Drosophila melanogaster: one gene and its partners. The protein of the gene in region 1 interacts with the protein of each later gene in a pairwise test. Each region holds a gene or a part of one and is shown on either strand. Other genes may lie near its edges. The genes, in order: Pdzd8, bond and GAA1.

What was found.
Region 2: the proteins of Pdzd8 (region 1) and bond interact in a two-hybrid assay, tested with the Drosophila melanogaster proteins (one large-scale study listed by BioGRID).
Region 3: the proteins of Pdzd8 (region 1) and GAA1 interact in a two-hybrid assay, tested with the Drosophila melanogaster proteins (one large-scale study listed by BioGRID).

Annotation. Positions count from the first base shown.
Region 1 is NC_004354.4:11,923,103-11,934,232, reverse strand, and holds Pdzd8 (PDZ domain containing 8), read left to right. Parts: upstream 1-3,382; 5' UTR 3,383-3,719; coding exon 3,720-3,884; intron 3,885-3,951; coding exon 3,952-4,212; intron 4,213-4,328; coding exon 4,329-4,521; intron 4,522-4,724; coding exon 4,725-6,000; intron 6,001-6,074; coding exon 6,075-6,224; intron 6,225-6,278; coding exon 6,279-6,911; intron 6,912-6,976; coding exon 6,977-7,223; intron 7,224-7,295; coding exon 7,296-7,484; 3' UTR 7,485-7,809; downstream 7,810-11,130. Other genes in the region: sclp, read left to right, coding at 9,790-10,075.
Region 2 is NT_033777.3:22,547,377-22,559,387, reverse strand, and holds bond (james bond), read right to left. Parts: upstream 8,709-12,011; 5' UTR 8,510-8,708; intron 7,635-8,509; exon of another isoform or gene 7,533-7,634; intron 7,291-7,532; exon of another isoform or gene 7,112-7,290; intron 6,763-7,111; exon of another isoform or gene 6,701-6,762; intron 5,714-6,700; exon of another isoform or gene 5,493-5,713; intron 4,852-5,492; exon of another isoform or gene 4,755-4,851; 5' UTR 4,689-4,754; coding exon 4,631-4,688; intron 4,566-4,630; coding exon 4,375-4,565; intron 3,985-4,374; coding exon 3,265-3,984; 3' UTR 2,894-3,264; downstream 1-2,893. Other genes in the region: sit (stuck in traffic), read left to right, coding at 120-380.
Region 3 is NC_004354.4:5,867,742-5,876,531, forward strand, and holds GAA1 (glycosylphosphatidylinositol anchor attachment 1), read right to left. Parts: upstream 5,617-8,790; 5' UTR 5,516-5,616; coding exon 5,338-5,515; intron 5,278-5,337; coding exon 3,599-5,277; intron 3,530-3,598; coding exon 3,362-3,529; 3' UTR 3,100-3,361; downstream 1-3,099. Other genes in the region: CG15764 (uncharacterized protein), read left to right, coding at 1,441-2,322; mof (males absent on the first), read right to left, coding at 6,528-8,790.

The DNA of each region.
Region 1 (11,130 bases):
TCGACGAGAGGTTTATGCTTCTATTAATGCGTTTCGTATGCTGAAATTAGCTCCTCGCAAACTTTCCGATCAGTTGAAAGAACTCGATGTCCATATGTATTTATAAATGACAAGCAAGCAAGTCATTGTTCTCACAATCGAGCATCCTTAACGTAAACAAAAACATGTGTAGATATAATATATACACCTCCGACTCCTCATACTCGAATTGAATTGAATGTGTATAATGTGTAAAAATGCAGAGCTCATGGCACACCAAACGTAATGTATTCAAATATACTATAGCCATGCACACAGCCCCTCCAACTCACTACCAAAAAAAAATGCAGTCATCATGTGTATAGATAGACGAATCGTACATGTTGGACGACGGGATATCGAAGAGCGCACAATAATTGTAATTTAAAGAAAAGAATCCATAACTTAAGTAAATAATTATAGCAGCTGAGCAGTAATGCGAATTTACACAGCAAATGAACTTACCATTACGAATATGACGATGACTAGCGTCGAGTGCATACGGAAAGTAAAAAGAAAAAAAAAAAAACTTTAACAAAAACATTTAGCAAACAGAAACACTTGCCCTAAACTAACTTAACTGAGCTGACTTTAGCTGTGTACGATACTTAAATATTAACTGAGCAATACTGAATAGGGAAAACGACTAACCTAGAAACGATTAACCCAAATATACACTCAAAAAAGGTCAAGATCGCCATTTAACTTAGAAACTCGCCATTTTATAATGTCTTTGGCTGTGAGCCGTAAGTTTTAAAAATCTCCGAAAATTTCCCAAGTTTCAAAAGCGGATTTTTCAGTTCCTTTTTTTATACTTAATTTGAAGGTTTCGTTCGCCATTAGTTTGTAATAGCAAAAATCATTGTGTGAATACGATTTTTTTATTTTACAGGACACGGTCATCATATGTCTTGTTGATATAATTTTGAAAAATAATTTTTTTTTTTGAAAACCCTGGGTTTTTGATTTTATGGCGATTTTCTAAAATCTAGACAAAGAGAATGGAGAGTGGAGTGTGAGAAAGGTAACCGACAAGCGTATTCTTCTATAATTATCTTAATTACGGATGCTGACAAACATACATCAAATATATATATATATATATATACACGCCTACATAGATAAATATACAATAGTTTATAACTAGTATCAAATAAAATGGGAACTCCAACGCTAAGGAAAAACATAGAACAAAGATCGCCGATATAAAAGTTCACTCTCCAATGAATTAATTAATTAATTAATTAATTGTATACACGTTGCACGTTGTATTTCCGAGGTTCACTTTTGACTACTTCCAGTAAAAGTTTGTCCACGTGGCAAATGTTTCAAGTCCTCAGTCCTAGGCTAAGATCCGATTTTTTACCTTCATTTTGCACCGCTTGCTTAACATTAACATTCGAATTATAACTAGCGATATCCCCCACAAAACAGTAGAGTTCTTGGAAGGGCAGCTTAGGGCTCATTAGCTCAATTACTACTACTGAATCATTGCCCCGATGCCAAAACTAAACAAAATATAGATAAATGATACAAAAAAAAAAAAAAAACACCAAAGAAAATAAATAAAAAAAAATACAAGAAAAAACAAAACCAAAAAACAGAAAAAAAAATAGAAATGAGTACAAAGTATGAAGTTAGTTCACTGATATGAATTCAGTATTCAGTATCGCTTATCCAGTTCATGATGCCTATAGAGGAAATATTTAGTTAGCTAAAATATTGGCAAGCTCGTGACCATTTCAACTCGATTCCATTCGATTCGCTTCTAATGCTCACAATCTTCGCTTCGTCCTTCGAAAAAAAAAGGCTCCCAGCTGGCCGACCGCGAACTCTGCCCAACTTTATGTACTCCTACTTGTATGGTTAGGTGCCAAGTGCAGGGATCCGATACACGAAACATCACATATTTCCGGGGAAGAACAATTCGGGCACCATGTCCCGCCATTTACTTACAAAATTAAAACCAAAATATATATTGTTACACAATGCTGCGATCGATTGTTCTTCCAGCTACAGATCCTTGCATTCCCCCGCCACATGGAGATGCCATGGAAAGCATTGCCCGATCCAGATTAAGATCCAGATTCAGAGTCATTATACATATGCATGCAACCATGATGAAGTGCGCACACAAGGCTGCTGCCGAGCCAATCCTCAATTCGAAAAAATTCAAAATTGAATTCAAATCCAAAAATTGAGGTGACCCAAACGGTCCGCGCTCCTGTGTTGTTAAACTTAACTCATGTCGTAGGTGGCTTACTTCTGTCTGAAATGGCAAACATTTAACCATTGAACCCTAACTTAACGATTCGACTGTATATTTTGTGATTTGTTTACTGTCTGGTGTGAGCGGTTACATGAAACAAAAAAAAAAAAAAAACAATAAAGAAGAAAACTTAACAAAAAATAAGAACGGAAACAAGCAAAAATAAAAAGGAAATACATATATGTAAGTAGATCTGACTTTTTTTTACAAAGCAACAAGAAATATAAAATATAGGATGTGAGAGGGGATGATACGCGAATAGGAAAGGAAACAAAATTAATAATAATGAAATTAGTTTAAAATTAGAAGAATGTAACTGTTACGGCTAAATTGTAATGATAATACATATACATAAATATATGAGAGAAACCATAAATATAAATATAAATATCTTAATTTAATATACTAAGTGAATAAAGCAGTTAAATTAATTACTAAGATACGCTAGAGATAATTAAACTACATTTAATAATTATGTAATTATAAAGATGACTCGTAATTTATATACAAGATATACATACATAAACATATAATAACATAAATACCTGCCTTCAACAAATTTGTTAATAAAACTATTAATACTTTCTTATTTTACATAATGTAAAGGAATACCATAATAAAAACAAAAAAAAAACAAGAAGAAAATAAATGTCAAAAAAATAACACAAAAATTGCACATCTTGTGTTTTTTACTTGCGCATTGAGTAGATTTTTATACCTTTTCAATATATGCCCAACTATTTTAGTTTATAAATGGAACAAATGAATGAGCCCATGGAAAGCCCACCAAAGGATCCCAGCATCCTTAAGGATTTGAAGAGCCTGCACCGCCTCTCGAAATTATCTAGCTCAAAGCAATTGAAACTTCCTGCCATCAGGAATTCCTAGGGTGCACCCGGGTGCACCGTTCCGAACAGCTGTTCCAAGTGGTCCGGCTGATGACTGGTCTCCGGATTGCATTGGCTGCGAATCAACCCCCAGGAAGGTTGCCAGCTGATCCGGGCGCAGGCGCACTGCGAAGTGGCCACGGCACAAAAAAAAAAAGGCGCTGCCAGTGCTGCGGATATACATATTGATTTTATGTCGCCTATTCATCAGTTGTAACAATTGTAAGATTACAGCTACCGATAGCTGGGAACAGCCTCAAATTGGCGAAATCGGCTAGGGTATCAGCCAAATGGATGGGTCAAGAGCTCCGATTCGGATGCATCCAAACTCCGTGTGAACGGCGAACGAACTACTGGCCGAGGGTGATACAATGCGAGCACATCCAGAACGTAATTGAAAAGACTGACATCAGATATACTGTGACCAGTGGAGCTTTGGACTCCGCAGCTGGTCCCATCGTAGCCTCGCAGCTCCTCCAGCAAATACGATCCGGAGGAATAGACAGTATTTTCGAGTGAGATTGGGAATTTAAGGCATCGCCAGCATGGAGATACCCATTTCAAACATTCTGCTGCTCTGCCTGATCTTTCTGTTGATCGGCGGAGTGGTGATGATCCTGCTGCAGTATCTCATCTTCATCAAGTTCTCGAATCTGCCCGACGAAAGCGAGGAGCAGAAGCAGGCGAATGCCAAATACACCCTGCCATTGGTAAGTAGCTGGAGTAAATTCCCTTGTTCAATTGACAATTTCCAACTTGGTTTCACCACAATCGCAGAACATCAAGCAGACGGCCAGGAACCTGAAGAGGCTATCCAATTCCGGACTGGGTGGTGGCGCTGGGAATGGATGCGAGAACCATCAGGAGAGCCTCCGACGGGCCTCCGCCCTGGTCTCCCTCAACTTTGTCATGCAGTTTCTCTTCCACGAGTTCAAGAACTCCAATCGGGTGCGGAAATGGTTCTATCGCAAGCTGTCCATCGAGCTGGACGAACTGATTTCCAAGACTACCACCGGAAAACTGCTGGACAAGCTAACGGTGAGAAGTAGATTTTTTTTTGTTTTGATTAAAATAAAAGGGTTAGAGTGATATTATACTCTTTTATTAGTTTCAAAGTTAATTGGTGTACTAACAAATCATCTATTTTATTTTAGATTAAAGAGCTCGAGTTGGGCGACCAGTTTCCGGACGTCAAGTCGCTATCGGTGCACAACGTGGAATTGGACAAGGATGAGCAGCGCATCGAGAATCTCGACCTTCTGCTGGACATCAACTACGTTGGCAATTTCACAACTTCCATTGACGCGGACATGGTGCTGGGCAAGAAGGGATCGATAACGCTTAGGGGTGAGTGAGTTGGCGACAGGGAATGGGTTTTAATTGTTCCTACCACCAGCCTTGCACGAATCTGAAAAAGCCATTGGAAATGAAACAAATTCATGGGTTTTTTCTGTATTTAAAAATATTTAAATATTTAATGATGTTCTTATATATATGTACATATATATTTTACTTATCCCTACTATTTAAATTTACATCTTTTATTGCAGTCAAACAGCTTTCGGGAATGGCGCGCCTGCAGTTCACGAGAAAGCCCTACACGCACTGGTCAATTAGTTTCCTGGGCGATCCGGAGCTGATCCTGGACATCGAGTCGAAGTACCAGGGCCGCCAGATGCAGTCGAACATAACCAACCTGATCTCAAACCAGATCCGAAAGGCGGTTCGCCGGAAACACACGTTGCCCAACTACAAGCTGCGCTACAAGCCCTTCTTCCACTGGACGGCGGAGGAGGACGCGAGCGACTGTGACATTCAACCGAATGGCCTGCTCACCGTCAAGCTGGCGGAGCTGTCCCGGTTGATGGGCTATCCGGGCGCCAGTGAGACGTACTGCACCATCACGCTGGCGCCGGTGCCGTTTATCGAGGCCAGTCAGCGGGATAGCCGGAATGTGCTCATCTCGTTGGACGTGTTCATTCACAAGGCGAAGAACCAGCAGATTGGAATCGTCTTCAAGCAGAGCGGCAGCCAGGTGGTGCGAATCGAGTCCGTGCTCCCGAATACACCGGCCTGCAAGTCCAACCTGCTGGCCGGCGACGTTCTGGTGGCCATCGAAGGCAGGCCGGTGACCACCATTCAGCAGATCGCCAAGGTGGTCAAGACGCTGCAGGCCACTGTCTTTAGTCTGCGCATTGAGCGCATTATTCCTGGAATTATTCGCAACGATGCCATACTGGAGGACTTCGAAAAGTACGAGGATATCGGCGATTTGCCAAGTTCGTATCCCTGCCAACCGAAGTTGGAAACGGATGAGGCTGCAACCGCTGATCCGACACCCAAGCACCTGGTGGTGAAGCCCAGTTTGAGCGGAACACCAACCAATTCCCCCAAGAAGTCCAACCTCATTGCCAAGGCTATCAAGAAGACAATGAGTCGAGAGAGTGGGGATAAGGATCGGGACAAGGATAAGGATAAGGACAAAGATAAAGATAAAGACAAGGACAAAGATAAGGACAAGGATAAGGACAAGGATAAGGACAAAGGCAAGGAGGAGGTGGAGGAGCCGGTCAACTACTTCTATCAGCACTCCACCATCGACTGTCCATTTAGTCCACTTATCCACATGGAAGACGTGTGCAGCTTCCAGTTGGACAATTCCAGTCGCTTCCTCAACGTCTGCGTCTTTGGCAAATCCGCCGGCGAGAGTGTGCTTCTGGGTTATAACAATGTCCAGATCGGTCAGATTCTCGTCGAGTGCTCCGAAACCAGTTTGAACCAGTGCCTCAAGCAGATCAGTCTCAATCCGGCATCACTGCAGGCTGTGTAAGTTGGCCAGTAACCACCAGTGGAAACTCCAGAATGCACAATTGTTTTGATATATATTTACTGATCCCCAGAAAGACGCATCCGCTGTCCAATCAGTCCGGCTTCAATCCGAACCTCTGCTTTGGCGACATTCTGTTTGGCTTCTCCTGGATGGGCAATCCCAATTTGACGGTGGGTGATGTTCCCATCAAAAGCACATCCAAGTCCCAGTCTCCGGCCAGGTAAGCTTCAAGTTACGGATTAAAAGACTAAACTAATTCTTATGCTCCCAACAGAAATCCCTTAGCTGGCGACCGAGTAGCTTCAGAAGATCAGTCGCAGTTCCTCAAGCTGACGAGCTCTATGGCAGACAGCTCCACATCTGGCGAATCCTCTAGTGGCACCACTGCCGCTCCAAGGGCACACGACTTTGTGAGGACCCACTTCCATCGGGCAACACAGTGCGACTTCTGCGGCAAGAAAATTTGGTTGAAGGACGCCATGCAGTGCCAGGAGTGCTCCATGTGCTGCCACAAAAAGTGCATAGTCAAGTGCCAGATGGCCACCGTCTGCGGTCCGGTTGACTGTACCGGCTCCATACCGGCAACCTCCTCCACTCCTTCAATGGCCAGCCGACCGGAGTTCACCATCACACAGGCCGACAATCCACAGATCGTTGATTCCAGCACGGGTGCGACTCCGTTTGATGAGACGTCTGCTGCATCTGGCGGAGATCAGGGGCAAATTCAATCGCCAACGGCCTCTGGCTTGGATGTCCATCGATCCAGCCTCACCGGGATGCTGGCCCAGGGCATCAAGCGGCAGGCGAGCAACTTGGACATTCCCGGCATCGTATCCTCGCTAACTGGCAGTGGTCAGCAGGTGAACTCCAAGAGCCTGCCTCCCAGTCCACAGCACACGCCATCGCGGTAAGTTCGCATGCAGAACCAATTAATATGGGTGCCTTTTTTATACCATATTTGAATACTGACAGAAAATCGTCGATTGTGGAAGAGGCGACTCCTGCTCTGCAGCAGAATCCTTTCGAGAGCGTCACCCAGCACCTGGAGGCCCTGCCCTTGGACTGTCCGGAGCTCAGCTTCGAGCAGGTGATCGTCATCACGGAGCCCATCATTCGTCACACCCGCAACGAGGATCTGATGAATCTGGCCAAGAGCACCAGCAAACTCCTATACGCTGCCCTGCCGCCCGATGAGCGTGTGGCCAAGATAAACGAGTTGGTAAGTCTGCATGGCTTCTGGATAGATATATGTATATATATATATATGTATAATGATCCTATCAATGTTTAGTTAACGAAACTGAAAGTAGCCCTGGATGCGGAGACCGAGGGCTATACGCTGATGAACGATGCGGAGAAGGCCACCGAATCCTCGCCCTGGAAATCGGACAGATCGGATGAGCGTGTCCAGGCGCTCAGCATCATCATGCTGTACTTGTGCACGGGTCTGCAACATGCCCAGGGTGTGGTGCTGCAGTAGATGATGCTGCAATCCTGGGATCATGGGCTACATGTCAATGGTTAAATACTTGTGTATTCGCGTGAACTCGTACATAATCTTAAGTAGTAGACTGGAAATGTGTTAGTGAACTAATGGGCATTTTTAATTCGTGTTGTGGCATACTTAACTAGAAGTATTGTATTTCAATTTTAGCCATTCGTTTCGATCAAAATACGCTTATTTGTCAGTTTTGAAACCGATTTGTACATACATAATATGGGATTAACCCAAACTTAATGGATATATCAATGGCATCCATAGAGTTCCAACTTGTTTTGGCAAATAAACATTTTTAACCAAGTTCTATCACATTTCGTATGATATTCATCTAATATTTTATAGCAAAATGTTTGTATATCGGTATGTAATAGAGAACGTAAAGAGCGTGTGTGCAAATTAAATTAAATATTTTTGACGTTGATTTTAATATTTTGGCATTGGTTTTCTCTACATGCAAACTATGCCTCCTAGCATACTGCATTCTGCATATAAGTATGAGATACGTGAACGTGGAAATGTCAAGTTCAAAATGGCATGTTTTTACTACCAAGTGATCTAATGAGACTACAGACAATTCCGGAACAGAGAAAAATCATATGACGGATGCGTAGGAGATCGGTTCTATATGTACGATTTATATACGACGCACTTTCTCCATTTATATTGAACTTTTACACTTTTCCGCGGCAGCAGCAATGAGTGTTTATATCAGGGGCTATTGCTCTTAAGATGACAAGATACTTTGTTCTTGATGCAGCAATACTCATCTAAAGGATAGGAAATTTCAGAAATGACCATCTTTTAGATTAGATACAAAAATATCTTATTCCTAATTCTTAAAAAAAAAACAAGATCAATCTATTCGTTTATTTTACAAAATGTGCGTATCTATAGGGTATTTTGGTATTCCAAATGTATATTGTTTAATGTTTAGTTGCGAAAGCTTTTCCCAACTTTAAAGAAAGTGCAATGTGGAGCTTTGGGGAGCAGAACTTAAAATTGGCTTTTTGGATTTCTGCAGCTCTCTTTGATCGAATTCATTCCCCGCAAATTGAAGATAATGGGTAGAATAGCCTTGACAACTTTGAAAATGGCCATTATCGTGAATAATTGTACAAATGTTTGCTTAATAATTTATAATTACATATATGATACATGGAAATGAGGTGTTCAATACGACTTGTTTTTGACTGGAAAAAAACAGCGAACGGCTGATGCGTAAAAGTCGATTCTATAAGTATTTTGGCCAATTTACACTGGCTAACAAATTGGGATAGCCGTTCTAAATGAATTGCATATATTGAATATATATGTATATGCATACATTTGTCTTAGATCATATGTAATTTAAGGTTGGTTAAATTATTTGTATTATGTTTTCCATTATTTTGCTGACTAGTGTACGGTGCGATCATCTCTCTCTCTCTCTCTCTCAAACGTTCACTCTCTATTTTCGCATTGAACTTTTACACTTTTCCGCAGATAGAACAAGCTTATTTTATTGGCAAGAGAAAGAAGGACTGTTTATATCAGAGGCTATTGCTCTTAAGATGACAAGACATTTTGTTACGATGCAGCTATACCCTTTAGAAGGGGTTAATTGGTTGCACCATACCCCTTTATTTGAACATAATATATTGAAATTAGATTATAACTTAAGAAGTCGCTTTTTATTTCAGTTCTCAGCGAAACAAGTCTATATTTCTCAAAATTCTATATGTATCTATTTTTGATCTATTGGTCTTTAGCTCAAATACGATAATCTGACAGATACTTTTGTATGACAATAAATGAGATACACTTCCCATTTCCTTTAAACATACTCCCAATCAAGCCTTGGCAAAATCCAATTAATAGTACCTTGTATCGCAAGGCTAATGACCATTTCGGAGCCAAGGAAAGAGTATCTGCGAATCGGTGTGCGCTTGAAAATGCCAAATTGTGCTATTATTTTTTGTTTTTCTTCCCATTTTATTTTTCATTTGTTTTGTTATGCGCAGCTTTTCTTTCTTCTTCGTGCTATAAAAACCGAAAGTAAAAAGCATTTTCAATATTTCAATGCGGAAGATAGTCACGTTCAGTTGGTTGCGAAGTAGCTCGCGTTTAAACAATCCAAATAATAGGAAAGATATATCTTGAACCAATCACACTTGCCACACTGATTGGAAATACAAAAACACACATATTTTTTTTCGAGTGATTACCCAGTGAGACAAAGCCAAATTAATATACCCACACCAAAGACTAGTTCAAATCAATCGAAAACAAAAAAAAAACACAAAAGATGCGGCCTTTTGGCAACGACATAACAAACATCCCGAACGGTGGTAATAATGGTGGTAATAATGGTGGTAATAATGGCAACAACGATCCCAACGACGGCAACGACAACCGGAACACGAACATATCCAGTGAGGATCCCAGCGAGGAGTCCGGACTATCGGACGATCCGAGTATTCCGCCGCATATAGCGAGAATCGGCGGAATCGTTACCTGCCCCCCGATCGCTGGACAAGGAGTTATCCGGGTGGTTCAGCGTTGCGAAGACGCCAAGGAGAACCACAAACTGGGTAAGTCATGGATAATATAATTATCATTTATTATATGCACATGTGACCCAGTCATTTTCGCTTGAGACGCAGTTGCAACTAGACGACTGATTCTGTTTATTCCATCCATATATGCATACATTCGCATATAATAGGTCCGTAGTATGGACAATTGGCCAATTGCCAATTTCAGTTATTGCGCACCGACTTCCCCATACAAAAGCCAACAATTTGTTTATAATTGAGGGCCTTACCAATCCGAAAGGAACACTCCCCGCACAAATTGGCGAGGAAAGTGCGTCTCTGCCGATTGCGATTCTACTACATATGTATGTATGTATGTATATATTGGTATTGCATTGTTTTCCCAGATTGTTGCCTCGAATTGCCATCGGTTAACAAAGAAAGGTAAATTATCAATGGGCGCGATAAGTGGAAGTGGCAGTTGGGGGTGGGGGTGGGGGTAATTATTGCCCAGACATTGGCCCCACACGATTCCATTCTGCGATTCTACGATACGCAGATTTGCCTTCAGTTATTTGATGTCCGGAATCCCTCGATTAAAACTATTAAATAATTTTTTATACAAATCTAAAGAATATGTTCCAAAAGAACGACAATTTTCTAGGAAGAATATATTATTATCACAACTGATATAAGAAGTATAGCCAAACTTTGGCAACAATTTGTTTAAAGTTATGCCACCTTGCCTAGAGTCTTGAATTTGTTTCAATTTAATAGCGTAGTAAGGCAACATTTACGATGCTATAAACTAATTGCTATAAAAGTAAGGGTCACATGAATTTCAGTAGAAATATTTCTAAAAACCATCCAACCTACTTTTCATAACTAAAATGTATTAAATGTATGTACTTATTTTTAATGTTAATGCATTTTTGCAATGGTATGTACATATAAGAACATCCTAACGTAACGTAAAAAGAACGCAGTATTTAATTAGTTTTCGTTTTCCATGAACCGAAAACATTTGCAAATATATTTTTCAGAAATACTCTATTAATATGTTTACGAGTGCTTCTGCTTTTAAAACATACAAATAATACAACAGGCACTCT
Region 2 (12,011 bases), on another chromosome or scaffold:
TTTTAAAATTATCTAGATTAGTATAAGTACAAAACAGATAGATTCAGAAATAGATAGCACCTCATTCTTCCTTATCGATAGCTCTTAATGGTCTCCCGATTTTACGATTATTCTTACAGATCCAGTTCTGCTGCGCCTTCATCCACCAGACGCAGCTGTTGTACACGGATTGTGGGTATCCCAGGTGGTCGGTGTGCTTTACCCTGCCCAACGCGGTGTTCTTCTACTTCCTGTTCAACGACTTCTACCAGAAGTCCTACAAGAAGAAGCAGGCTGCTGCCAAGGAGAAGGCTCTGTCGGCGGATAACAATAATGATGGATGTGCCAAGGACCTCAACAAGGCAATTCAGCTGCAGCAGGAGAAGCAGAAGGCCTTGTAAGAGGGAGGAGCACAAACACCCACCGCCACCCACCCACACACACCACCCTCAACACACAAAACCCCTTCAATACTCGTACAAAAGGGCGGGTAGAAACACCCACTGAGAGCCACCCATGTTCTATGTGCAACCTTGTTGACTAATTTCTTAAGTAATCCGCCGCCAAATAGACGTGAAGCACGAAAAAAAAAAGAAAATCAGAAACGAGACGAATAGATATTTGAGCAAATGAGGTTTTCGAGACACAGATACACATATTATGTAAATGTAAATGTAAATGTTCAAACAGTTGAAATTGCTTTTTGCCGCCATCGTCATCATCATCGCTCGCTCCGTTTGAAGTTCGCCATCGTGTCGGGCGGACCCAAATGAAAGAAGTCGTATGTCTTTCGGCCAAAACTGAAACTGAACTAAGTTAAGTAAACAGGCAGAAGAAGCGTTAGTTGTGTAAATAAGTGTAGGTACGCATGCGAATGTGTTTTCTTTAGATTTTATATACGTGTGGTATGTAAAGTAGGCATTAAACAAGTGAAAAACTAGCTAATAACGAAACCATAAATACAAACACAATTTACAAATAAATCTAGAATTTTTTCTACAAAAATATCGTAAAAAAACAATGAGCCTTATTCTTTATCTTATGAATGGGAAATTAACGGAAGTGAGAACTGACACTCCTAGTGTCAATATACTGAAAAAGATCTCAACTTTGCTTTTATGGGAATTTTTCATATAAATCTGTTTTTATGTATCGTATATTTGTCAAAAAAGTCTGACATTTTTAATTAATAGATCACTTTATCAGGATCATGTACCCCATACTATTTCTTTATAGTTTGAATGATCTTGTTTTCAATACATTTAAAAGTTTTTTCCTTTTGACGCAATAATATATTATACTTTTAAATGAATTACTTTTCATTTAAAGAAATAATGAATTAATGCAATTGGCCTTGAAAACATTGCATATTCAAGCATTTCCTGTAATCATTTGTGTTCATTCAACTTGTATTTATGGTTTCAAGCCACTTTAATGGTATATTTGTCTTTTCGACAACATTGGGGTATCTCCCAAAGAGCAATCACACCCATTTGCATCCCAATCTAGCCATTCATGATCTCAGTAAGCCTCAGATAAATCGCACGAGGTAACCTTTGCTCAAGGAACCAACTCAAATCGATTGACCAGCTGATATATGTATGTATAACCAAGAACCTATTCATTCAGCAGCGGAAGCCAAAATGATTTAAATTTGAATGGGCGTGGCTAGTACAACTGGTCTATGGGGTGATGATCTGGACACGATCGGTTCATGAATTTTTACGAGACTCTGGAAAGACGACCACTTGGCCACTCATTAGAGCTCATTTCGCAGGCACCTTGAACGGCGGCGACGGAGGAGATAAGATTTTGATAAATTCCGCAGCCTTTTATTGATCAATCAGTCAAGACGGAACGCAACTGAAGCGGAAGTGAAAACGCATCTTCGAGTGGGGTTGCGGCCATCCGATGTGCGGATACAGTATTCAATAAAGCCGGTTTGGACACTTGGCCTTGATCTTGACCACAAACATGAGAAAACAAAGCGCAGCTCTCAGCCAAAAATTTCGGTTTTTATCTGGCCCCAACCGGAGCTAAGCTAATGCCAATATTATACCAGTTTTATGGTCTGATCAGCATAGATTCTATCAGACTTTCGATTGAAGATGAAGATCTCCGGCGTTATTTATATATTTACCAAGAAACTGGAAAAAATTTCCATAATCACAATTCAAGGCATACTTTCAGGCCGTTCTTAGTTTTAAAACCAACATAGAGTTTGACCTATGCAAATGTCGCAAAAACGAGGCTCATTTAAAATAACACGCCTACCCATAGATACAAATCAAACTCTTTTCCAGGCCCTTGAACTTTGACTCGAATGTGTACAAAACAACAAGAGTTTTATACTCGAAATCTGCATAAATAAAGGTGCTTCATGTGATGCTGGAGGCATGTGTGTGAGTCAAGGCGAGTTAAGAAAAAATTGATTAGAAATTCTAATTTGGCAAAGACATTCTCCAATCGTCGCCAGGGTGTCTAAGCCTGGCCAACAAAATGGACGGGGCACACACAATGTTGGATAATCATCGCAGCACGCGTACTAGGTTCTACACTCATAAAAATATGGTTTATTTAAAGAATCGTTTTTTAGGGATGCAAAAATTTGTGCTTTTGTTTTATGATATTTCTAATCTGTTCTCTGATTAGACAGTTGGCACAAAAAGAGGTAGTATATCTTCACTCAATCGACAGATATTAATCACGTTTAATGGTTTGCAGATCTGCATAATTTTTCTTTGCGTGTGGATGGAGCGCGTGGCCATGCCGTTGTCATAAATAATAGGATCCAATGGGATCCGGTTTGATTACCTAACCCAAGAGCTTCGCGCAGAAATAGAAGTCCAAAAACCCCCAAAACCCAAAACCTGAACCCGAATTTCACCGGCAAAGAACAGACACAGACTTTTTTGGTTTTATTAAATATACAAAATTAAAGTTTTATTGAATTTTTCTTGTTTTGCGAAACGATTTACGGCTGCATTTCATTAATAAGCTCTATCACACTAGCTCTCATACACGCTCAGCTAGAAAAACATTAACACATACTCAGTCACACAAACATGGCCACATTCACGCACTTAGGGTCCTAGCTACTTTTTGGATTTGAATCATCATCCGCCTGCCCGGCATATAAACATTATACAAGTTATTCTCCGCAGACTACAGACTACTGATAGTTGGTAATGGTAAAGGTAAAGGTAAGAGTTACGAACTAAGCCCCGCTCTAAAAAACATAATTGCTAACTGAAATCCCAACGACACCATTTTCGGCATCGCCGATCATTCCAGCTTCATGGGCTTCACGCTGTTGTTGTTCAGATCGATGTACGCCTTTCCGACCTGGCCATTCTGGAGCAGATGCTTACCGGCGTTCATGGTCTGCGGCATGCAACCCATACCGCCGGCGGCACGCAGAGCGGATTGAGCCAAACTACTGCCGGTGGTGCGACTGCCTCCATCCACGGACTTGGCCTTCTTGTAGGTCTTGCGATAGAAATTGCCGAACAGGTAAAGGAAGATGACCGTGTTGCCCACGAAGAAGAAGGTCAGTGTCTTGGGCATGTTGCAGCCCTTGGCGCCCACGGTCAGCATGTAGCCCAGGATGAGGACGAACTGGATCAGCTGGATGCTGGTCATGTACTTCTTCCACCACAGGTACTTCTGGTACTGGGGTCCCATTGCGGCCACCATGTAGTAGAAGTACATGATAATGTGCACGCCCGAGTTGAGAATGCCAATGATCACGCCCTGCTCGCCGGGAGCGTACTTCAGGTAGCCCCAGGAGAAGAGCACCGTGATGGTGTGATGGTACACGTGTAGGAAGGACACCTGGTTGTCCTTCTTGCGCAGCACAAAGAACGTCGTGTCCAGCAGATCGATGATCTTCGAGAAAAAGTAGAACCAGGCACCGGAATAGAGGGTCAGATTCTGCTCCCTGGTGCGGTTAATCTCGCACTTCTTCGAGAAGATCGACGCCATCACATTGCTCTCTTGGATGGACTGCAAAAAAAAAAAAAAGAAAAGGGGAAATTAATCCTCATATATTTTATTATTTTTAATTTGCTGCTTAAAAACGCTATTTTATTTAAATTTCTTATTCAAGTGCAGTTAATTTGTTCATTCATTAAAGCGCGACATCGATTTGCAATTGAATTGTATAATAGTATGTGAAATAAAAATTCACAAATAGAGTCTTCAAATAAACGAATTCTCTGCACAATTGGTTTAAATTGGTTTAGCTTAATATATTTAATGACAATATAACGTAGGTCGCAACTTTGTATGTTCGACAAGCACTTGACGCTGCTTTTCTTATTAAAAATGAATAATACATAAATCGAGATCGCGAAACAAGCTGAATAATTATGACGCTCCGTTTTATGGACTCACCGTGCGGCACATCCAAATGGAGTACAAGACCTGAAAGGCATTATAGAACACCATGATGCGCTTGAGGTCCATGGGCTTGCGATTCTTCATGTACTCGGGTCCGATTTTCAGAACAAACGCCAGATAGACGAGAACCACGGCCACCACGGGCATAGGTGAGCTCATTAGGAACCAGCTGTCCACCGTCTCATCTAAATGGTATTCGAATCATTAGTTTCATTTGATATATATGCATACCTATTTCGATTCAACTTACCCACTCCTTTTGAGAGGCCGGAGATTCGCTCCTCGACAATCTTTATGTAGTTCGTCATATTGGCTTTCTGTTTCTGTTTTCGTTACTGTTACTGTTTCTGCAACTGGCAATTGTCAATTGGCAACTGAAAGAAAGAGGCTTACGAGCTTTAGAAATTTTCGCCCAAAAATCGAGAATTCAGAGCCCGACGTCCGTACGCCGCGTTGCCGAAATATTGAATGAAAATAGGTATTCTAAATCGCGATCGCTTGGAGAGGCTCAGCACGTTTGTTTCTGCTCGGCTCGCCGAGGATCGTGATTTGCATTGGAATTTGTGCCGAGGCACGCCAAAGATTTATTAATGAAAGGCGCGAAGAAATCGCTTATTAAGTTATCCCCAATCGAATGATGAATGACGACAGCAAAGATAAGGGTGGTGCAGCTCAACGATATAACTAGACATATGTGAATCTCTCGATTCAATAGAATCGAACGAGAATGTCTTAAAGATCTAAGATTCTTGGCCGAAGCCAAGACCGCAAGTCAGTGACAGTAGAAACCTGAAAAAAATCCGGACTCAAGGCTTCATTTGAATTTCTCGCCTTGGCACTAAAGTTAATACTATCTTTGGCATTCATCTTGGCATCTCCCTGAACATCTGCGATTGTCTTTTTCAGCTTTACTGTTCAGATAAAATCGGCACGGCACTCGGAGTTTATGTTCTAGCCACTGGGGCTCGTGTTCTTGCCTCACATTGTTATTTAAATTGCACACGGAAAAAGAGTTTGATTGAAAATGACCCATCGAATATATTCAATTACACGGCAGCCAGAACTCGTTTCTTATGTAACATTTCGAGGTGTTCTCCTCATTAACCACTGACCTAGCCAACTCCAACCGGAACTCGTTCGGGCGAAGATTCTCGAATTTATATATATATATATATATGTGTGGTAAAATGTATATAGATTGGTTTGTATAATTAGCTGGTATGCTAGAAGATGTCCAGTTGGGAATGTCACAAATCGGAACGGTATAAAACTAGTTGTCAAACTTGATCGAATTTATGTGCTTGTACTTTGAATTTTAAAGGCACGGCCTGCTCTATAATGATTCTGGGATGACTGGAGTTTTGTTCCCTTCTGATTGCAGTAGCACTCTTCATGGATGATCACATGGCGTGTAATTTGATTTGGAGAGTCTGGCCTGGCCTGGCCGAAGAACAGAGCAAACACCTGCCACAGTCGCTAATTGGACACACTCGGCGTATGATTGATATGTTTTGACTACCGCCGATCGACAGCGACTGAGACTAGGTCTCTGTCAGGGTTAAGCCGTTCGCAATTGACTTCGCCTTCCCTTAGCCATATAGCCATATAGACATATAGCCATATAGCCATATAGCTATATAGATATAGGTATTGCCATTCCCAGACCCATTCGTATGCAAGACACTTGGCAATCATATAGACTGACACTGGAGACAGGAAAAGTGAGCTGGCTGCCGCATCAACTACATCATCATCATCATCATCATGATCATGATCGCAGTCGACCAAAAATGTGACGCCAATTGAAAGTCAGGCGAGTGTTCCGCTGGCTGCCTTCGCAGCTGCTGACGTTGATCCCCCTTCTGGCTACGCCCCTTTTGGATGGCAGCTTCCCTTTTTTGGGTAACCCCAGCACCTTCTGGTGCCACACTTTCGGTTAACCAAAGGCCACATCTATAGCCATTACTTCAGTATCCCATACGACGGCAGTGGAGCACAGATTCTGTGAGCTGAGCAGGTCTTCCGCCTTAAATAAATTAAAAATAAACGCAGAAGCAGCCAGCAACCACATTCTGCCGCGCACGCATTAAAATTATGTGTATTGTATGCATAATTGATTTTCGCTTTTGCAAATTTTTGTACCCTTTAAGAGGTGCTGCCTTGTCAGCAGTATCAGAACACTCGATATTTGGATACTTGGCACTCGGAACTGTGGACTGAGAACTGGGAATTGGGTTTACCCAGCACTCGAACACGGCTTTGCCATAATTTCAAATGTTGTGACTAATGCGAATAGTATCTAAATATCCATACGTCTGTTACGGTGCGGAAAAGCACCGAATAAAGCGTTAATTTTTACGAACTTGCCTCTAAAAATAAAAGGTTCGGATAAAAACAACTTAATTCGCCACTAATTCGAAATCTAATGAAGGCCGATGGGGCATTAGTCTTTCATCTGCGCATATGTCTATATGTAAATGTATCTGTATCTGCTGCTGCGATTTAAACGTTGTTAATGTGCCACCAGTTTAAATCAGCAAGTTTTGCATGTTTCTTTTTTTTTGCAACTTTGCGCCTAGAAGCTCAGGTATTTCGTGTGTTATGTCGCCACGTGTGTACACCAGAAAAAAAAAATATGATTTGTGTTTGGAAAATCCCAAGTACATGCAATTTATGATAGTAAACTAGTCTTGGTTTAAATATTTTTTTATTATTTTCCTTTCTGTTGCAGAACTCCTCAAAATGATATAGCTACATATATGCTGTGTAAATTGCAGTCCAATGGGGCGGATGTTTTTCTATAGATTACAGACAGCACGATTTTCACACGCACTTGAGTGTTCGCCGAATGACAACAATTAGCCATGTGAAATTCCCGAATACATTAGCCCATTGAAGTTTGGAAATGTGGTAGGTGTTGCGATGCAATCGAATGGATCCATAGAATCATGAGTACTGAGTAGATCGGGTAGGGTATGTAAACGGGTCGAGCACCCTGAAAATTGTTTAATTTTTTTTTCCACATTGTTATTTTCCCGACGTGGCTCCAGAGTGCAACAGGTTAATCATTTAGTTTTGCCTGTGTCAAGTGCACATGTTTTATGGTTTCATGCTTGCTTAGCGCTGTAAATTAATTTTTTTTTTTTTGCCAGCCGAGGCATTTACAGAGGAGGCACAAAAACGCGTCGAGTCAGCCAGCAGTTGGCAAACCGCAGAAACGCCACATAGATACATCCATAACTATAACCCACACGGTAAGAAAATGTTTTAAAATGCGATTAAAACTAAGCTTAGCAAATTCCCTAGCTAATTGCTTTTTGAGACATATATGAAAGTATATATAAATAGTTCAAAAAATCTGTTTGGCTATCAACAAAACTGTTTAGTTCAATTTTCGTTAAAATAAAATATATTAATATTATTTAGGAAACGCGAAAGATGACTTAAAAACCTTTTTCCCCTGTGCGTCTTAAGCCAGAGTTTGTTGCTGGTGACTTTTTGGGCCGACTGACAACCTTTAATTACTCTGTAAATATTTGCGGCGTTAATTGGATTTTTTTCCTGGCCCAAACGAAACCCTCTGCGTCTGTCTGTGTTGTTGTCGTTAGAAACTGTAACGGATATGGGCCGTGGTCTCTTCGTGGGAACAGCGACTTCTAATCTGTTTGCCTAACCATGAAATGTGGTCATCTTCGTGAGGGGGAGTGTTCAGTTTGGCCATAGTGTCAGGCGGCCATTTGCTTGGTGCTATTGAAGGCCATTTGGCTAGTGCAGCTGCAAATTGAATCGCAATCGATTACAAGTTCAAATCGTTTAGATTTGGCCGCCTCAATGCTGCAGCCAGAGTCTTGGCCTTGGCTGACTGGCAAAATTGCAGCTCCTCAAGCGAGTTTTCAGCATTTAATCTATGTACGATGCATTGGGTTAAGGTCGACGAGAAATATCAGACGGACCAATGGCGGTGGTGGCAGCAAAGTTAGCCAGGCTTAGACCAGCCACTGCCAATCGAGCTCTCAGTTTTTTTTTTGTTTTTTTTTTTTTTTTGCCCAAGAACTGCTCTCCAATTTATGCAACACTTTCATCACGCCTTTAGGTTGCCCCAAAAAATGAATTCATATCACTTCCGTACCTGTTGGTTTTTCGGCTGACTCGATTCCCTGCTTGGAACTTGGCTAACACACACACGCACTGGCGCGCACACACACACAATCGCACTACGACCGTAGCCTGAAGATTCAGTTACAGTTTACGGACTCGAAACTCGAATTCGGATTCGGACTCGGACTCGGACTCGACTGCGGCAAACGCCAAGAAGACACTAATATGGAGTTCTACCCGCTCGGCTGTATAAATAAACAAAATGAACGCGCTTCGCAGGCCGGCCAACATTTGACGCCGCCGTCGCTGGCGACGCTGGCAGCGCAGTCGCGGCACGGCCCGCACGGCGTATACTTAACCTTTTTTTTTAGTTGATTTTTGCGTCACTCGGCCGGGTTCGATACGATGCAAGTCGAAGTTGCGTTAATGGCCAATTTAAGTTGCGCGGCGGTTTCTTTTTTTTTTTTTTTATTTTATTTTTGCTTTAGAAACATTTAGTTTTGGTTTTATCTTTACTGATTTTTTGGTGCTTTCTGGTGCTAAGGTCAAGTTTGAAGCCATTAAAATGAATGTCTGTGGCGAGAAAAGAAAGCAAAACTGCTAACAGCAGCAGATAAGCCATGCTTTTTCTTGGTTTATTTTGAACAAGTTTATTAACCCTTTCCCGGTTGGCCAAAAAAACATGCAGATCCTATCGCAAAAAGAGCGGCAAAAAGAAAACGAAAGCAAAGAGGGAAGCGAAAAAGTACACAGTAAAAACGAAATATACTTCAATATTAGTATACATGTATACATATACATATATATATTATGGTATATGTTTAGAATTTAACGAACATACATAGAACATACTATGAGAGACTCTAGTTCATCATCATAAATTGTTAACAATTTTATGAAAATCTGTTTGTATGCCACTGAAAGTGTTTGGAATGAATTTCTAAAAAAATATATACATGCACTTTATATTTATATATAATGTGTCGCGATTTTTAGACCGCACGATGGAGTTTATATTTTTATTATGTGCTTTGACCTTTCAGTGATAACTCAGGTTAATTGGATTTTGCGTCATCCTCGCCACTTTCGTTTGATACTGTGTTATTTCTAAAAAACATCTCTATAAAGAAATGCTTAAAAAATTAACTACATTTTTGTAATAAAAATAGTTCCATTAGACCCTTTAAAATTAACAAAATAGATATGGATAATATTTTATATATGTAAGTTCCTGACACCACTTTTCTTTCTGTGTGCCCATTTAAAAAAACATTTTTCTAAAAACATCTCTATAAAGAAATGCTTAAAAAATTATCTACATTTTTATAATAAAAATAGTTCCATTAGACCCTTTAAAAATAACCAAAATAATAACATTTTATATATAAGTTCCTGACACCACTTTTCTTTCTGTGTGCCAATTTCCAGCTACAAAATTGGCTTTAAATAAACCGCTAGACAATTGATTTATTATCGCCGTCACGTCATTGAGACGAACTCAATTGGCAGCATAGTTATAAGTGCTTATATATATATATATATATGTGCCAATGTGGGGGATGACACGCCCCAACTCCATAACCTGGCACTTAATTTAACTACGCAAATAGGGTTTACGGGCGCAGTTAACACATTTCCAGATCGATGGGAAGCGATTGTCCGTCCAATGAATGGGTCAATTTCACGCACTTACTCTCACCAGTCTCCCAGATTCCCAGGTGATTTGTGTGACCCATGGTGATCCATGTACTCCACCCACGTGCTAAGTGCCCGGTCAAATATGCAAATGTTTGCCGAGTTGGATGCACTGCAGCTGTGTTGGTCGCCACCCTTCCGGGTCTTTGGCATTTCCATTTCCATTTGAAGCACATTGGCCGTTTAGCATTTTTTGTCGCGCGCTCGTCATTCAAACAGAAACAGCTCGCATTATCGGCGCTTCTCTTTTGTGATTATGACCCTGAACTTCAGCGCTACTAAATGTATTAATTCAGTCGATTAATACCGCTAGTCGGGGTCTGTGCGAAATCTGCTCCTTGGCCGAGTTTCTAACGTAGCTGGTCAGAACGCCGAGAGCTGATGGATGATATTGGCCTGGATTGGTCAATAGGGTATATCATCTTGATGGGCTGCCCCTGAGCAAAGCAAGTTCTATAGTCTTATGTTTGAAATTGAATTTGTTTAACAAAGATGAATGACTCTTGACTAAACATATTGGCCTTTATGTGCAATAAATATTCTAAGGGCGCTATTAAAACGTAGTTAAATTGCGCTATTAAGAGCTTGCCAAACAAGTGAATCTTTATTGGGCCTGCAAGGCTGGTGATATTTCCTCACTAGCCAAACACCATTTTGTCTTCCCAATTAAGTTTCTTTATTATTAGAATTGTTATTTGCCTACATTTGTGGGTTTTTATAACACCGTAATGCTATTTCTAAAAAAGCTATAATTAGACATTCTTGTATTACTTTAATTAATTAATTTAAATATATATATTTTAAGTAAGCTGTGATGTTGTCTTTGTTGTCTTTGCAAAAGTGTCCAAGGAATGGCAGATATGTGCATACTTAAGTAGGTTAAATATCGGGGAACTACACATGCTAATTCATAACTACCAGGCTTAAGTTGAGTTCATTGTTGATGTTTTTTAATGAGATGCCTTAACATTTTTTGAAAACAATTTCTCTGTTACTGAAGTGTTTACAGACTAGAGGAAAATTTTCTATTCATATAATATACGTCTTGTAATTTCGTCACGGTAATTTCTCATGAAAAAAAAAACAAATGCCTGTTAGGTATTTACGCAAATATCCAATATTTGGTCAGTTGAAGTACCACCTTTGATCGCCAATAAAAAGTTGTTAGCTCTCAAAAATGTTGACTAATAATGAAAGCACCTTGTTTACCGGGAGCAATACGATTTGCTGGCAAGCATTTTCAAATATGGCGGGCGCTGCGCAGAGTTGCCACATTGTTTTACAGAGCTGTGACTACAAAGTAGCGTTAACAGCCGTTAACAGCTGCTGCGTCAAGGTATGACCGCATTTCCTCCGTTCCCATATGATTGCTAGTGATTTTCCCTATCGCGCTTGCAGTCACACTGGAAAAAACACAGAAAAAATTAAATTAAGGGAAAACAGATGAAAAACTGCAATTGCACGCAATTGAAGCAAGTGCAGCAAATAGTTTTTCGCGCCAGTGTTGACTCCTGGGCCTGCCGTCGAAGCCACGCCAACTGCGCGACTTTCGAGTGGTAAGTGAATAGTAACGAAACGCCAGTGAAATCGAGTGATTAATCGTTCGTTTGTGTTGTGACACTTTCTGTAACTTCGTATAAAAAAAATGGGAACTGCGCAAGTGGAGTGCAGGTGGGGGTTAAGCCAGTTGGTAGTATTCCACTCACACGTGGCCTTCTGGCTGCATTTTCCATGCACTTTGCTATCTATATAATGGTTTCCCCGAAATAGCAACTGCACCTTAACCCACTGAGGATCCCACTCGCATTTGAACACCATCTTATGTAAAAACGTAATTG
Region 3 (8,790 bases), 6.1 Mb from region 1:
CATCTAAAGTTGTTTAATTTTTGCAAAATAATTTTTTTCCATTTTCCGTCTAAGATCTCAGTGTATGTCTATAGTCTTTTGGATGCTTTTTTCTCGTACCTGTCTTTCTATGCGTTTGTTTTCCATTTCACCTGCCCAGTTTTTCGTACTCATCGTTGGCATTCCAAAAAAATGGAGTGCCACGTGACTCCTCGTTGTGGTGGTTTAGGGGGGGGGGGGGGAGGACTATATAGGTCGGGCGGATTGACGCCGCTTGTGCATTGTTTCGAGGGGGCGGACAAAGCACACAAATAACTGTCAAAGTTTCAATTCTTTTCGAAAGTAAAGCCCGGGTAAAAAAAAAAAAAAAAACAAGAAACCGAATCCGAATCCAAAAGCAAACAAAGGCAGAACAATGGTCGAGCAAATTGAAAGCTCTCGATTGGTATTCCTCTATTCCGGACTTGTTTTCCCACTTTTCACTTTTCATTAAAACAGAAGCAGCACGGAAGCGTTGAAAAAAAATCCGCAAAAAACAGCGAAACTAAAATTGAAGTCGCTCTACAAATGGATAAACTCAGTTTGGCAATGGATTTTATTTACAGATCTCATTCAAGGTTCAATTTATGAAACGATTAATAGTTAAAGCAATAAATTTTTTAAAGGGCCGTTCAAGTAGGTTCCATTATCCTTACATCCGCGATGAATGCATGGCTGTTCTGTCCAACCGACACGATAATGCACATACTCATACATATGTACATATATGTTGCACATCAATCCCCCTTTCGCCGACATGCAAAGTGCAACACCTCTCGTTCTTCGAACAATTTTAATTATTTCCACACGCAGCAGCGACGCACTCAGTAAGTCCATGGGCGGCAGAGGGAACCGGCAAAAGAGTGGTCGTTGGAGTGGGATGGTGGGGGGTGGGGGGGCGAACCCGACCGCAGGGAGTGTGTTGTTGGCTTTAACGGGGAATTAAGTCGGGCAACAGGAAGTCAGCGAGCACAATAATTAAGATGAGCGCTCGAGGGGCAATTATGTGACATCAACTTGCCAATTTTAAAACACCCCCGCCCCCCCGCAATCACGAACTCTCCGCATCCCTTTATCCTTCAGTCGAAGGATAATGCGAACGTTTTGGCCAACAGTGGGCTGTGTATAAAGATTTCTAACCATATATAAATATTCTTCGAACTGCATACTTTGCGACACATTCATACACTCAGAGAAAAAAACCTTTGTAAACTTGTAATCTTGGAGTTGGAGTTTTCCGAAACCAGTAGGCCCGTCTCCAACTGGCAACACTTCATTTCACCTAATTTGACAGGGACACACACAACACGTTTGCTCTACGGTTCGGTCGGTAGTACCAAATCTTATATACACTACATCTTCACAGTATAGCCATATATATATATTAATATTATCAAAATTTTCCACTAAACCTGCTTTGGAATGAGCACAGAACATCTGAATGACGCGGCGGAGTCCGTGAGTGCCCGGAGTTTGGCTTTGGATCGCGCTATCGTCAATTTGGTGCACCAGGCCCGTCGCCTCCATTTGAACAGCGTGAATGGCTATACATCTCTGGAGGCATCTCTGGAGAAGGCAGTGCCAGAGTTGCTCACGACTAGGAGTGATACCGCACACCCCACCACCACAGCGACCAGCTCGGCAAGGTCTTTCCCGAAGCGTAGGCCCAGTAGCCTAGCACCACGACCTGCGCCCAAGGCTTTCAAAATGCGCAAGACCGATACGCATCTGAGGACCCCACGTGTCGTCCAGTGTAAGACGGCCCGTATCCCGGTGACGCCACCACCACCGCCACCCTCGCCGCGTTGCCCAAAACCTGGGGAACTTAGTTCGGCCATGGACATGGCCGATCTGCTTCGGATCGAGATCGCCGAGACGGATGCACTGTTGGATCAAATGCTATTCGATGCCAAGGCACTCGAACGCCAGGTGGCGATCCAGTGTCAGTTGCAGAGCGATGCGGAAATGATCCGCAGCCTGGAGATGGAGTACAGTGGGCGATCCATGAGATATCTGATAGAGGCCATTCAGTCGGACTGCGAGAGCCAGGATGTCCAGGATCTCTGGAGCCGATGTCAACGCTCTTTGGAACGCCACGCGGAGCGACAGACGGAGCTGGAGTCCAAAGAGGGTCTGTATCTGGATCGGAATCCAGGCAAGGGCACCGGCAAGGGCACCCAAACCGATATGGCTGACTCTCAGGACGAGATGCTACCTATCTCGTCCAATTCGATTTGCCAATGGTTGCGAAGGGCGATGGGTTCTTTAAGCCAAGAGGATCAGGTGCAGGAGATGGCCATCTAGCGCAGGCCAGCCTTGAATAGTATTTGAATAAAGATACACAACTCTAAAATCACTTGTGTGCTCTGCTGTTTTAACGATGGCCCATAGAAATATTGAAAAGCTGCGATTAGACTAGAACTGCGAGGATTAATTAACTACTACTTGAAAAAGTATATATATTTGTTAACTGATTTATACAGTGATACAGCTCAGTGATTTGACCGAACTCATCTTACAATCTATCTATCCATTTAATAAAAAGATATTCGAAAATTTCTCATTTCTACATTTCGAGTGAAAGTACCACTGTGCCGCCGCAACTTTGTGTCTGCCTTTGAATGGTTGTGTGAGGAAAGTTTTCTTGTTAAGTTGCAGATTGAATGGCGCCGGTAAACACGGTGCGGCAAGTGCAGGGCTCCCAGCTTCGAGGACACCATGCATCCATGCCTCTGATTGAGCCAAATCCTGGCTCATAACTAATTGCCAGCAGCGACGACGATGGCGCTGGCAGCGGTGCAAAGTTTAAATTAAGTTGCGTGTCATAGTCGAAAAGTTTTCCACTTATTCAAAGAGGCACGTGCTCCACTGAGCACTACTCCACGGAGAAACTCCTGTCCTCCACTGGCCAATAACGCCAGCGAAGACGGAGGATTGACAAAAGAAATAATAACCAACGGATGGGAAATATATGCATTACTGCTTTACGTGCAAACAAAGTTGCAAATATAATGGAAAATCCATAAATCACAAGAAGCTACTGATAAAGTTAACCACTTAAGTAATTTAAAATGATAAGTTAACTGGGAATCAACATCGAAAATGCCGTGGTATATTTAATATTTTTTGGATTACATTTACACTTAGTTATTCCAACTAATAAATAGGCTTCTTTTATTTAGACATTTAATCAAATGCATAACATTTAAATGGAATTTTCTCTGCATGTGCAATCTCTTACCGCCATCACACACAGTTTTGTTGGGTTTATCACACTTCATCTTAGGATCATTTCCAGTTGATATATGTAGCCAGTGAATGGCAATCCGTGCTGTTCGTCTCCTCAATTCGTTTTCACCTTTGACTGCGGCTGCGGCGACGTTGATGGCGACTCATCGAAGTCCAGGTAATCTGCGTAGTCGCGTCGCTTGGACAGCGACAAGGTCCAGCAGATGATCCACAGCGGCAGGAAAATCGTGCAGATGACAAAGTACAGCCAGTTGCCATAAATCTGCAATAGGAAAGTATTTTAGTTTATTATCTATGTATGTTAGTAGTGGCAACTGAAATCTTAACTTACCACGGAATCGATAAGTCCATAAGCCGAGGCATCCATGGCCGCGGTGGCCGCCCTCAGCATGATCTTCTGCACCGGCAGCTCCGGGAACTGGTAGAATGTCATGGCCAGCACGATCACATAAACGACCATCATGGGATTCATGACCAGCGTGGCCAAGCGGATCGTGTTCCTCAGCGTGCTGCGCGAGTTCTCCTCCTTGGTCTCCAGCGCGATGACCAGCGGTACAGTCAGCACGGCCGCAAATAAGCCCAGGGCAAAGTTGAGGAGCCCGATGACTATTAAAGCGCAGCCATAGATTAGCAGAAAGGCCACATGCAGCAGCTCCAATCCTCCGGGCGGCAAAACCACCACAAAGGGCAGAACGAAACCGATCAGAGAAAGAAAACTCAGTACTGAGGTGGTCAGTGGTGCGGCGCCCATAGGAATCTCTAGGAAATATTGCTGCAGGGGCAGCACGTTGCACAGGAAACCAATCAACAGGGTGGCAGTAAGGTAAATCAATACCGAACCATACGGCAGCTCGAACTTATCCGGCTCTAGGTTCTCCTCCAGTTCCGCCTCCTGTTCGTGCTCCCTAAGCCAGCCAGCGGCCTTTTCCAGCTCAGCGTTGGTCGCCGGGAGCGTGGACCACGTTAGATAGGCCTTAAGGAAGGCACAAGCTACCAGAGCCACCAAAGCGGGCATATAATCCCCAATGGAGATGTAGCGATCGTTGCTTACGATCACATAGAAGAAAAAGCTTTGATGGAAGCGCTCCAGAAGGTTGTTCAGACTCCTGGCTATTCCCTCGATGGCCTTCAGCAAAGGCACCGCTGCCGATCCTGGGCTGCCCTTCAGTGTGGCATGGGTGGCCCTTCGATTGGCAGCTATGGTCAAAGCATCGATCCGATAACGGTGGAACAGCCCATGATTGCCAGTGGGTACGCCCGACGACTGGCTGGCCAGCATGGTCAGCATCTGGCGGAAGTTCTGCTCGAAGTGCGACTGGCTGTGACGACGCTTCTTGCGTGGCGCTTGTTTATAGCCAGAGGCGATGCCCTCGCGGGCCATAATTCTCTGCACCAGATTGAACATATCCAGATTGGGCAGCTTGCCGTTCAAGCCCTCTATTCGCACATCCACATGGTCAATCTCCAGATCCTGAACTTCAATATTCAGAGCCGCTTGCAGCGAACCAGCGCGAGCGGGCAAATTGCCAGGACGCAGGTACGCCTTGCTCAAGTCCAGTTCCCGGTCGCCATCGTGATAAGCCTCCAGCCAGGCCTGCATGCCCAGCTGCTCCTGTTCGGTGATCAGGAAGATCAGATCCTTCGCCCAGTAGTTCTTGCGCCGGGCAAAATCGGCGAAGGCCAGCAGAAGCGGCACGCTGGCGGAAATGTCCGTGTGCACGGAACTGGCAGCGCGATATGGAGCCGCAAAAACGATGCCCTCCGTGGAGGCAATTCTTGGGGCCCTCAATATGCCGTAGATATTCTTGCCGTGATACTCTTTACCGCCGCCAAATGGGTAGCGCAACGTGTAGTTGTGCGTGTGCGTCTCCAGGCCGAACTCGTTCATCTTGGCCGCAATCCAGGCGTGCGGCGTGGTGGACAGATGATCCTTTCGCTCCCGCTGCAGCTCCTCCAGCAACTGGATGGCCAGACGATTCGCATCGATGCGGATCTCCGGATAGACCAAGCCTACAATAGATCACACCAATTGTTAGCGGCTCTCTTTTGGTGACGCTGCACGTAACTCACCTGGCGAAAGAGCATTCTCGGAGAGATATGTCCCGTGGTTGAACTCCGGCAGCGCCAAACAGAAGAACCAGGCCACACCCGCCACATAAAGGGCGTAGCACACCTTGCGAACATGACGCGCCAGTCCGTCCACCAGCTTGCTTTGCGTCGATATCGACGGATCGGACAGCAGGCCCATTTTGGCTGCCCTATATCCTGTATATATCCCGAATCACAACAACACGAATCGGACAAGCCGGCGGAATTGTATCGATGCGGGCGTTATCGATAACCTCGATAACCGATTGCTTATGACGCTAGGGAGGAGAGGGTTAGCAATGGATTTTAATGCTCGAAATTTTAAACTTGTTTTTCCAATGTTTTCGATATTTCTATATATATTTTTTATTATATCAAAATATACATATTAAGCTAACCTACAAGAAATGTGTTGCAAAAATAATGAAAAGAATAACCTGTCGTTGTAAATATTTATTTAATTTTTCCTCTTTTTGACGTTAATGTAACGACGCATTTATTTGAGAAAGTACATCATGTTCTCAGATTGGAGTTTTTCTTTTTTACAGTTTAAATCATTTATTATTGTTCATTAGTCAGTAGGAATCGTTCAGTTCTTTCTGAACTTAACCTAATGTGTAGCCTAAAAGATATTATGGATTCTCTTCCTTAATTATAGTGTATAAAAATGTACCGTGGAGAGATTATGCTATCTTACGTGTAAGGAGTTCATAGAGATGTATTCTCTTCAGGCGTCGGCATATCGGCTGCTGTGGAAGTTTATTTGGTTTTTAACAAGTCCAGAGTTTTTCGAGATAAAGTAGTTAAAGATATATATTTCAAGAACACAGAAGTTTTTAAAATTTTTAAATGGTTGTTCCAAATTCCCTCTCCAAAAACATTAGCCAAACGAATTAGACATTTGGTTCTATCATTAAGAGTTACAACAGCCTATCCGTAAAACTCCTTAACTATAAAAAAAAAAAATTGTAAACCAAATGTTAAGTATTACATTGAACCTTCTGATGGTTCCATTTAGATATATGACTATACATTTTTCGTTTGGAGGGGTGCAATAGAATAGCTTATTCCTACGCTTTCTTTAAAAAAAAATAAAAAAAAAAAACCTAATCGTCATCGTCAATAACAATTATATGCGATGATAGCAGAACGGGGTCTCCAGGTTCCGTATGCTAGCCGGAATTTCCCGGAGCTCTGACCACTGCCGCTGCAGTTTGCGGACTCCAGACGAGGTAATCGGTGTCGATGGTCAGCTTGGGCTGCTTGAACTGCGGCAGCTGGAGGTGGTCTTGAATGGTCTTGGACGTAACGCAAATGACATTCTGGCCCTTCCAATACTTGATCATCTTCATGGACTGCAGCGTGTAGATAATGTCGTCGTGGGTGATGCCACTCATTTCGCTCAGCTCCTTGATTGTGATCTGCTCTGGAGCGCAGCGGGTTTTCATCAGCTCCAGCAGCGTGTATGCCCAATAGCTGCGATAGCTCAGCCTACCCAGATCCGAGAGCGGTTTCTCCGGACTACCGATTACGCCCTCCTTGCGCGACAGCTCATAGCTAAAGGCTATTAGTAGCTTTCCAAATCCCTTACGCTGATGCGGCGGCAATACCAGAATGCAGGCCACGTTGTAGTTTTCCAGCGACTTCTTTTCCTTGGAGAAATAGCCCACAATGTGACTGCCCTCCTTGTCCGTCTCGCAAAGGATGTAAAAGAGAAACGGGTCCATGTCGAAGTATAGAACCTTGTGGTCCAAAAAGAGCTTGGCCATCAGACACAAAAGTTGGCAGTATAGTGACTCCTCCTTGCCGTTCACCTCGTAAATGGATATATTGCCCTTGCGGTAGATCTCTCTTCCGGGCGGACGCCTGCGGTCGCATTCGTGCAGATGATAGGCATAGCTCGACCTGAAGCGCATGTACTTTAGGCAGTACTCGCAAACATATAACGTACGTGCCTTGCCATATTCTTCGGGGAAGGGACTAAAGTACCAGGTGTCGATCTCGTAGTTGCCAAACTGCAGCTTATCAATGTACTTGATCTTCGTAATGGACTCGTGCTCCTTCTCCAGCGCCGCCTGCGTGGCGGTCAGCTCAGCGTGGCTCTTCTGCACGTGGTTGATCTCATCGTAGCGCCGCTTCTGGTAGCGTGTCATCTTGCGGTCGCTGTAGTCATAGCGACTGTTCTCGCAATAGGACAGATAGTAATCCTTGTTGGCCGCACGCTTCTGCCGTTCGGATGAGGCAGCTGCCGCCGCGGCGGCCTGTTGGGCGAGCATTTCCCTGCTAGTACTTGGCTGATCGGGGGCTAATGGTGGCGCTGGCAGCACGGTAATACCGCCCAAGTCATCCGCATTGTCCGAGATCCTATGCCTGCCCACCCATCCGTCCAGGCGGCGATTGAGACCAACATAGTGGACGTAGTACTCATCGGGAGCGGCCGCATTCTCAGTGGTGCGAGACTGAAGCACCTGGCCACGGTGCACGGTGCCATCCTCGCGCCGAATAAAATAGATCTTGTCGGGATTTTCGCTTATATCGATCTTTTGCATCAGAGGGTCACCTGTTGTGATGACCGTCTCCCTGGAAGTGTTGTCGTGCTCCATGGTCAAGGCATCATCTTCGTCCTCCTCTTCCTCTTCATCGTCATCGCTGCTGCTAGTTTCGCTGCTGTCGTCAGAAATGGCCTCAACGTTGGCGCTAAGTACGGTTTGAATGGGCAGAACTACGGCTGGCGGCGGCATGTTGCGCTGGCGAGGATCACGCGGCGCCAGGCGGGTGGGCAGGCCAGGTGTCGATTCCTGCATGTAGCGAGAGCGTATGTAGGGGGATAAATATACTGCTGGTGGTTCCTCGCCGTCATCTGTGGGCGAGGCGGGAGTCTCGGGGACTTGTTCCGCTGCTGGAGGAGGTGGTGGTGGCGGTGGGGCAGCCAATGGCAGCCCCAGTTGTTGTGTCCCTTTGAGATGAAGAGGAGCTGGAATGGTAACCACCTCGGTGATTATTGCATTGGGAGGAGCATCGGGATCCATAACGAAGTCGTCAATGTTGGAACCACTGCCGTAGGGGTTGATGTCGGCCACGCAGATTACCGTATCGGAGGAGGGCTCATCCTCGGTTTCAATTTCCTGGTCCACCACCTCTTTCTGCTTCTGCGGCTGCGCGGGCTCCTGTGCCTCCAATTCAACTGGACCTGGTGACTTCACCTGATCCTGACCGTCCTCCTTCTTTTCCTCCTGCTGCTGCTGCTGTGGTTGCTCCGGCTCGGGCTCCGGTGGTGCCTCCTCCGCCTCGCTAACATCGTCGTAGCGGGAGGAGCTGGACGACCTGGTGGAACTAGTCGATGTGCTGCTCGCCGGCGTGCTGTCCTCCGAAATGGGACTGATGTCGCGATGCTGGCGCTTCGCCGGTGGCTCTGACTCCGCCGCGGCCTCCGCT